Danio rerio: one gene and its partners. Each later gene encodes a partner of the first gene's protein in a complex. Links are inferred from orthologs where the notes say so. Each region holds a gene or a part of one and is shown in the gene's direction. Other genes may lie near its edges. The genes, in order: timm22, timm9 and timm10.

Region 1 (3,301 bases):
CATGCTCTTGTAGAATGACTGTGCACCTGGCTGACTAAAACAGAATAATTAAGAAAATATTTTGGGACTGTTTTTTTTAAAGTCCTAAAAACTTTCTCAACTTTTAAAAAATGACTTTGACTATAATGTTCCTTATTTAAATGTGTCAGTGGAGGAACTTTCATAATAATTCTACACAACTTATTTTGGGCTGTCTGCAATTTATTTTTCATTATTTTAGAACTATTGCTGTACCAAAAAGCTGCTAATGATTGATAATTTTCCTATAGATCATGGATTATCTAATACAAATATAAATGTAATCTAATAATATAAATATCTTTTTTTGTACTTAGAATAGCACACATTTGTAATATATTAGTAAATGTAAAATAGACATCATTCAATTTTTGTCTTGATGATAGCTGTTCAAAATAAGATATTCACTAGTGTGTCACTTCATAATCCCAGTACATATTCAAACCTGTTTCACACTGTTTATGTTTTATATCACGTACTAATCAGCATAAATGATATATCAGTTTAGACTGTATAAAATAGTACACAATGTTTGAATATTTCACTAAAGTTAAAACATTAAATGCACCACTCATAGAAGCATCTTTTGCTGCACATTCAGTTTAATGTGGATTATTGTCTCCACCTAGTGGTTCTGTATTTGAACACTTTCTGATCATCTATTCATTTCACTCGTTATGATGTGTTTAACGGTCATCGCCATCTTAAATCCTTGAAAGTTTTTAATATTTTGATTTTTAAAAAACATCATGAACCTTTTCCAGCCTTTTCTTAGCTGTTCAGGCTGGAAAATGACCAGATTGACAAGCATGGTTTAAGCTGGACATTGCAGGTTTTGGCTGGTCAAGCTGGTTTTAGTTGGTCATCTCCCAGCATGACCAGCCAACCAGCCTAGGTTGATTTAAGCATTTTGTTTCAGCAGGGATATGTATTTATGTATGTATTAAATAATCTTTGCATCAAATTACAAAAAATGAATTACCGCTTGTGTGAGGCATTTGTAATGGAGCGTCTATGGACGGGACAGTACATTTGACGGGACGTTGTTCTCTTTACTGTCTGTCATTATCAGTCTGACACTATTTCTTTTTCTGAAAGTCTTGATTACACCATTGTGGAGATTCATTTTATTATTTCAGCAAATAAGATTGTAAAAATATTTGTTGTATATGGAGTCAATCTAGAGCCATATATACATGCAAAATAAAAGAAAGTTTTGCAAACAAAAACAAAGTCTTGAGCAAAAATAAATAAATAAATGCAAATCGCAAGCGAATTTTTTTTTTTTTTTAAAAAGTAAAAATATTCTGATAAAAATAAAGAATTGCAAAGGGAAAATGAAGTTTTAAGAAATAAAAATGAAATTTGCAAACAAAAAAGAACTGCAAATACAAGTTAAGCAGTGCAAAAAAACGGAAATATTTGCTATAAAAAACTACAATATATTTGCAAAACATCTTTGATAGCATAGCCTTTACAAAACCCGTCCAGTCAATTGCAATGTTCATTTCGATTAGCTTTTTAGTCAACCGTGAGTCTACGATGCTGTTTTTATTTTGCACTTTACATTTCTGCACGTTTCACTTTGTGGCCCTAATTTGACAAAGGGCAGAGGCTGGAGCTACTTGGCTGTAAGACCACCTCGGTGATACTGTGTCTCTAGCTGATGACGTCGCTTAAATGGAGGCAGGTCTGGGCCTGCCATAAACTTCCAGGTTCCCTTGACTCTGCTCCCCTTTTTTTCACAAAGTGAAATATTTTTTTAACTGCTTGATTTATTTGCAGTTTTTTTTTTTTTTGCAAAATTCATATTTATTTCTTAAAACTTATTTCCCCCGTTTGGGGGATTTTCGTTTATTTATTTTTGCTCAAAAAAACGTTCTTTTATTTTGCATGTATATATGGCTCTAGATTGGCTCCCATTCACTGCGCTCCAAGTTTACCCAACCATGACGACTTCCACTACTGAGAAACCCAGAAATGTGAAAAGTGTCCATTGTAGAGATTTTTCAAAGGCCATTTTATTTCTCTCTCTGAAAAATGCTTTTATTTTTTACCAGCATCGTGGGAAGTCTGACTGGAAGAATGCAGTATACAGTGGCTGTATTACAGGAGGTGCCATCGGATTCAGAGGCAAGTCTTTTTTGATTATATTTTATTTTTTTTAAACATCCCACATTTAAATATCATCTCATTTTTATTATCATAAGTTGGACTATTTCAATGAGCTGTGCTTCTCTTCTCTAGCCGGCCTTAAAGCTGGAGTTCTGGGCTGTGGAGGCTTTGCTGCCTTCTCTGCTGCCATTGAATATTACCTCCGATGAAGATCAGCTTTAGGACTGTTGGCTTGTACAGTTGTGAGCTGCTCACTGTATAATGGAAGACAATGTCCAGCCTTTCTTTCTTCCACCAATCAGGAGCTGTTCCTCCTGAAGAGATTCAGTTGCCTCAGTGGACCAATGAGCAGAAGTTTTATGCAGGGTTTGGAATATCTTGACCTTTCTGTCTCAGATCATCTGATGGCACTACTACAAAAACATCTAGGACAATATTTGTACCTGTAAATGTTAAACAGGATGATGCCCGAGCAAAAAATAAATGATAATAATTAAATGTACAGTGTTATACTTTGTCTGTGATAGAAATAAAGAATGATATAAAGTACTTGTTGTGGCGAAATTCGTATTTGAACAAGCAAGAAGTGTGTTGGCATTGTCTCAGTAATGTAATAATGAACATAAAACAGGCTCACAGATTTTCGTTTCAAAGCAAGCAGCTTTCTGTTCGTCAAAGTAGTGATGGCAGATTTGCAAAACATAAACATTGTTTCAAATCAGTGGTTTTTGGAGCATGTATCAAACAAGGCCAAGGTCACATGATTTCATAAAACTGGGCTTGGTTATGTCACAACTGGTTCAAAACATTTCAAGCTTGGTAATTCTTCATTCTTGGCCGATGAACCCATGAATGGGTTTATTGTAAGCAAGAACTTTTTAAAAACGTTCCTAGTTTTTACTTGATCTTGGGTCAGTTTTATAATTTTAATGACACATTTGTGTAATTTAAAGTAATAATAGCAATTAAATTGCAGTATGTCTGTAATTACCCATCTGTTATTTTACGGTAAATGTCTGTAATTTGCCATCTGTTATTTTACAGTAAATGTCTGTAATTTAATGGCCGTTATTTTACAGTAAATGTCTGTAATTTAATGGCCGTTATTTTATGGTAAATGTCTGTAATTTAACGGCCGTTATTTTACGGTAAATGTCTGTAATTTATT
Region 2 (1,866 bases), on another chromosome or scaffold:
TTTTTCTTGTCTAACAAGCTGTTTCCACCACAGGAGTGTGAGCTTTAATCCCATTCTGAGACAAAGTCAGAATCAAGTTATTTAAATTTAGAATTGTGGGATTTAAACTTATGAGAATAACATCAGATTTTTTGACCTCCATATTGAAAGATAAGAATTCACTAATTTGCCTTTTTTTTCTCTAATAATTCAGAGGAATAAAAAATGAATTTATATTTGTTAAAATAACAAATAACTATAATATTAAAATGACAAAATAACAGTTATCAGGGTAAAATTCTGTTTCATTAAATATTTAGATTTAAACTTTTTCCTCACAGTTGTTATTATAGTTCAGGGGTCACCAATCTCAGTCCTGTAGGGCCGGTGTCTCTGCTGGTTTAGCTCCAACTTGCCTCAACACACCTGCCTGGATGTTTCAAGTATACCTAACAAGACCTTGATTAGCTTGTTCAGGTGTGTTTGATTAGGGTTGGAGCTAAAATCTGCAGGACACCGGCCCTCCAGGAACAAGTTTGGTGACCACTGCGTTTAGTTGATTAATGACGGTGACACTTTAGCAAGCTTGTATCTCACAGTTTTTGGTAAAACCTCAAGGTTTTACCCCCAAAATCGTCCTTCCACAATACCTGGTTGATCTGAGATTTCAAGATATATCTCAGATCTATATGTTTATCATAAAGTCTGTGTTAAAAATAACTATACATGTCAAAACATTAATAATATATAAATACAAGTTTGGATTTGTTAATTGGCAAGAGAAAAATATTTACAATTTAATTATTATAACAAACATTTTTTGCAATGTTTTTTGTGTCATGTCACCATAAATAAAAAAATAAAAACACTTATTCATTATATGTAAAGCTACATCTTAATTTTAAGTATCAACATTCTTCTAGACCACATGTTCTGAGAGCTGCTTGCAGAAGTACCTGAAGATGACACAGAGGATCTCCATGCGCTTCCAGGAATATCACATCCAGCAGAACGAAGCGTTGGCCGCCAAAGCCGGATTATTAGCACAACCACGATAACAGACTGCTGCTGGACTGAACTCCAGACCATTACGCCAGGCTCTCTGTATTTCCAGCACAGAGCAGGAGTCTCCAAACGGGCCCTCAGAGGTTCAGGACTGCAGATAATACCGGGAGAAGTCCTCTACTGTCTGCCTGCAGATATCTGGACTGATGGGATTTTTGGTTTCCCCCAAATGGAAAGACATTCCTCATTTTCGGGACATTAAGCAGGTCGGCCACATAACATGAAAGATCTTGATTGTTTTTATGTTAGCATGCTACAAAAATAAAATGTTATGAACATCTCATTCCCGAGTAAATTTATTAATAATATATACAAGTATAGGTTGATCAAGAAACAAAAAAAAAATCTGATATTTTCAATTCAATGACAAAAACAATAATTTAAATAAATAACTATATAAAAATTATAGCTATATTTTGTAGTTGAAGTGAAAATATCTACAATCATGCAAATACTTTAAGTTAATTCCTGTAATTATGTATACATGGATTTACATTCACTGGCCACTTTATTAGGTATACCTGTCCAACTGCTCGTTAATGCAAATTTCTAATCAGCCAATCATATGGCAGAAACTCAATGCATTTAGGCATGTAGACATGGTCAAGACGATCTACTGCAGTTCAAATAGAGCATCAGAATGGGGAAGAAAGGTGACTTAAGTGACTTTGAATATGGGATGGTTGTTGGTGTCAGACGGACTGGTCTGAGTATTTCAGAAACTGCTGATCAACTGGGATTTTCACACACAACCATCTCTAGAGTTTACAGAGAATGGTTAGAAAAAGAAGATATCCAGCTGGCGGCAGTCCTGTGGGGGCA
Region 3 (3,713 bases), on another chromosome or scaffold:
ATGCCAGGCATAAATAATGTTCCGGCATAAATAATGCCCTGGGCTGCGTCCGAAACCACCTACTATTCAGTAGGTACTGCATTTGAATTTAAACGTACTACTCGGTCGTTAGTAAAGTACGTTCTATACAGTATGAATGTAAAAAATAATAAATCAATTCGGACGTACTACATCTGCCATTTTGTCATAATCACATGACCTTCCTGTGTCGGTTGCGTCGCTTTACTTCCATTCATGAATTCTCTTGCGAGGCATTTTGGGATAGCGCAGTGTGCATGGGATGCGTCATCCGGGTACTTCTCGCATACTGATTTTCGAATTCTATGAATTCGGACATACCACTCGGCTCGCATACTGATTTTAGCGTACTGTATTATATGGAAGTATGCTGTTTTGGACGCAGCCCTGGTGTTCCCCTCTAATGGCATGTACAAAGGGGGATGTCAATCGAATTCTTTCTGCAGACGTTATTGTATGGAATTTGTACTATTATAATAATGCTTTTTGTTTTTCTTAATCGTTACTTTTTATAAACTGTTTTTGTTAAATGTTAGAAAACTGTTAGGGGGAAAAAGAGGATTCCAGCACTACTTATTTATTGATATATATATATATATATATATATATATATATATATATATATATATATATATATATATATATACCATAAAATATACATTACACTTTTGAGCTTTCTTTCTCCTAGGTTTTTTCACAATATGAAATTATAATCAGTCAATAAATGTAAGCGTTATTGTATTTTATATCCGAGAAAAAGCAGCTCCTCCGTTCAGTTGCGTCTGTTTACAGCGCACCGATGACCGGTTTAAGATGGCGGCTGCGTTGACGTATCGGAGCAGCGGACCGGACCGACCACGAGGCGTCTCACTTTTCAATAGAAAACTTTATTGTCAGCGGATGTAGCAATTACAACGCTGGATGGAAAGGAGGATCCACGTGGGTTGTTTCTCCGGTCAAGCACACAGACACTGAAGGTTAAAGCAGGCTGTCGGGGCTCTTTGTTGAACGGGATCCGCGCGCAGACCGGTGGGTTTTTGTCGAGGGGGAACCGAAAGGACGTTTGCAGAAATGGACCCAATGAAAGCGCAGCAGCTCGCCGCAGAGCTGGAGGTGGAGATGATGGCTGACATGTACAACCGGTATGCAGATTTTATTCATATGCAACAAAAATTATTTGTGTGACATTACTTGCATTATTGATGCAGACATCAGATATGCTATTGTGCAGTAGTTTGTGTAGCTATTTGTTTTTTACGATTAGTTGTAGTATAACGTTATTATGTGTATTAAGACACCAGGCCTTGATCAAGATCGCATAATTTGACATTTTAGGGCAGAATTCAGTAAATCTATATAATCCTTGATGTTTGCTGCAATAACCTGTATCATCAGATTACGAGCATTGCTATTGCAGTGACAGGTCCATGCATTCAAGTCCTGCACATCTTGAACCGTCAGGTTCATTTTTTTGTCCTCTGTCACTTTGAGAAAGTTAAGTTTGAGTGTTTAATTAAAATGTATGCGCTGATCCAATGTACAAGTCAACATTTGTGTATAAATACACAATTATTAGTTATTAGTATGCTTTATATTAGATTGGTGTATTAAAATGTTATATAAAAATGCCTGTGACATTGACATTGGTATATCCTTGTGAAGAGCTTTTTAAGTGAAAAAAAGACTAATTGAGTGTTTTATGTAATGTTCGGTTGTTATGAAGTTAAATATTTGCCATTCCTATGCATTTATTCCTACTATGTAAAAGTCTAGAGTTAATAATTGTATGTGGTTGGGCTGGATAATCACCTACTCAATTTGATGGATATTTCTCTTATTATTTGTTGAAAATTACTAGTTACATAATGTCAATATTACAAGTTACATTTTGTTATAGATGCTATAAATATAAAGGTATAGTTGTTGGTACTATAATATGGGACATTCTACCAGAAAAGTACATTTTCACTTATAAAAAATGTGATAAGACCTGACCTTTAAGCTTTTCTTTCTCAAAAACAAAAAAAACAAAACAAAAAAATCATGCAAAAACAAGCATGAAATCATACAATTCATTGATAGAATGCATCTTTGATCACTGTCAGCTTCTTCATCAAACGAGTCATAGCCTTAAAGGTGTATTGCATGCATTTTATTTTAAGTTTAATATAAATGTAACAGGACTGACAGAAACATGGGGGCAATTGTAAAATAGTATTTCTTTGTTGAATTTATTTATAGTTTCATGTTTTAATCAGTTAGTGTGAATGCTAATAACTTAAACTTGCTATTTTAAAAGTTTTTTCCCCCTAAATAACAGTTTATAGCATAACAAAAGTATTAACACTGTAGGTTCAGTTGGGCTGAGGACAAGGATGACAGGGTTTATACAGTGTAAAATGTTTTTAATAAAGAGCAAAAATCTAAGAACCAAATGAATGACATATTCCTTTACAGAACAACTCACAGAAATCAACCATCGGTTCAGTTTAGAAAGTTTTTGGGATGAAATCCTTTTATATTCACTATTTGTTTTTATTTCAAGGACGAATGATGTACATCTCAGGTAGAATGTCCCATATAAATTATATTTATATTGATATTATACAAATATTTAAAATTTTCTATGGATTCCTTGAACCATGAAAAAATGGTGGTAAAAAATAATGTATTGAATTATTTCTGAGGAGAGAGAAAAAAAGTGTTTGGAAGAGCAAAAAGGTAGGCCAAAACAACTCTAATAATATTATATTATTATAATAAAAATATCCAAACTCAATAATATATTATTAATTATAAAGATTATGTTATCATAAAGAAATGTACTGAAATTGACAGTACAGCTTGTTGATGAATGTTATACATTCAAGATATTAATTGTAAATCGACTGACTTCTCCAGATCACATATTTTTGCTGCTATAATTTAGCAACAGTCTTGAAGGGTCCTGCAAATCTATTGTGGAAACGAAAATAGTTACACAAAGTCTCTTCTCTAGTGCACTTCACAAAAGTGTGCTTACTCCATTTCATCATCCTAGCAGTTTTTATGATCATAAATTTGGGAGAGCAAAATATTTCAACACAACCCTACAATACAATTGATGCAATTTGTCTAACCTTAACCAGATGGAAAACCACAGATTTGGCAACCCTGTTGTCAGGTGTTTCTTCAGATAGTATTAATGCCTAATACAATTTTACTCCTTGATTGTCAATAGTTTAGCCCTACTGTTGTAGTCTCTATAAAATAACGGATTGAGTTAATGGACGTTATTAGTGCTTAAATCCGTTGTTCAGCTGTTCCAAAACTGTTTTTCCCATTCATGTTATTTATTAAAATGTTAGAAATGATCATTGGTAAAGAATTATAAGCCATGAACCAAACCAAACAGCTGCAAGGAGAATCTGAATGTGTATCAAAAGTAAAATACATGAAAATTTGACAAAAGTCAAGTAATTTGGTAAGAGCTACAACATCATGAAGTACTGTGAACCCAATTTCTAAAAAAAAACATCAGATAAATGTATATCTTTTATTTAAAACTGAATGGCTCTCTATATAGAAACAATATATCTGACATATTTTGTTTCTTCATGGAAGCGTGTGGAGCTAAATATCAATAATGTGTGCTTTCCTCGCTGGAGCTTTGTGATTGGTGGAAAGTCTGTACAGCATCATGGAAAATGTAGTTT

The links.
Region 2: the proteins of timm22 (region 1) and timm9 are in contact, whole or in part, in a cryo-EM structure (PDB 7CGP), measured with the Homo sapiens proteins. The link is inferred for Danio rerio from reciprocal best matches to the Homo sapiens genes TIMM22 and TIMM9. Residues at the interface, in NP_037469.2 of Homo sapiens: Asp35, Arg37, Gln38, Pro39, Arg40, Leu42, Gly45, Ser46, Leu47, Gly49, Ile50, Ser52, Pro53, Lys60; in NP_001291414.1 of Homo sapiens: Gln13, Glu16, Phe17, Thr20, Leu57, Thr60, Gln61, Met65, Phe67, His71, Gln74, Asn75, Leu78, Lys81.
Region 3: the proteins of timm22 (region 1) and timm10 are in contact, whole or in part, in a cryo-EM structure (PDB 7CGP), measured with the Homo sapiens proteins. The link is inferred for Danio rerio from reciprocal best matches to the Homo sapiens genes TIMM22 and TIMM10. Residues at the interface, in NP_037469.2 of Homo sapiens: Tyr25, Ser26, Leu28, Leu29, Gln30, Tyr31, Leu32, Val33, Arg40, Leu42, Leu47, Gly48, Glu67, Glu144, Ser145, Tyr146, Gly148, Ser150; in NP_036588.1 of Homo sapiens: Pro3, Ala6, Gln7, Leu9, Ala10, Ala11, Leu13, Glu14, Val15, Met17, Met18, Ala19, Tyr22, Ser44, Lys45, Gly46, Glu47, Arg53, His62, Glu63, Gly66, Leu69, Thr70, Ser73, Met74.

What each region holds. Positions count from the first base shown.
Region 1 is NC_133180.1:68,924,579-68,927,879, forward strand, and holds the end of timm22 (mitochondrial import inner membrane translocase subunit Tim22), read left to right. Parts: intron 1-2,078; coding exon 2,079-2,151; intron 2,152-2,265; coding exon 2,266-2,342; 3' UTR 2,343-2,679; downstream 2,680-3,301. UniProt on the Homo sapiens protein: Essential core component of the TIM22 complex, a complex that mediates the import and insertion of multi-pass transmembrane proteins into the mitochondrial inner membrane. In the TIM22 complex, it constitutes the voltage-activated and signal-gated channel.
Region 2 is NC_133192.1:12,573,114-12,574,979, forward strand, and holds the end of timm9 (mitochondrial import inner membrane translocase subunit Tim9), read left to right. Parts: exon of another isoform or gene 1-902; coding exon 903-1,037; 3' UTR 1,038-1,327; downstream 1,328-1,866. UniProt on the Homo sapiens protein: Mitochondrial intermembrane chaperone that participates in the import and insertion of multi-pass transmembrane proteins into the mitochondrial inner membrane.
Region 3 is NC_133176.1:47,648,034-47,651,746, forward strand, and holds the start of timm10 (mitochondrial import inner membrane translocase subunit Tim10), read left to right. Parts: upstream 1-910; 5' UTR 911-1,089; coding exon 1,090-1,160; intron 1,161-3,713.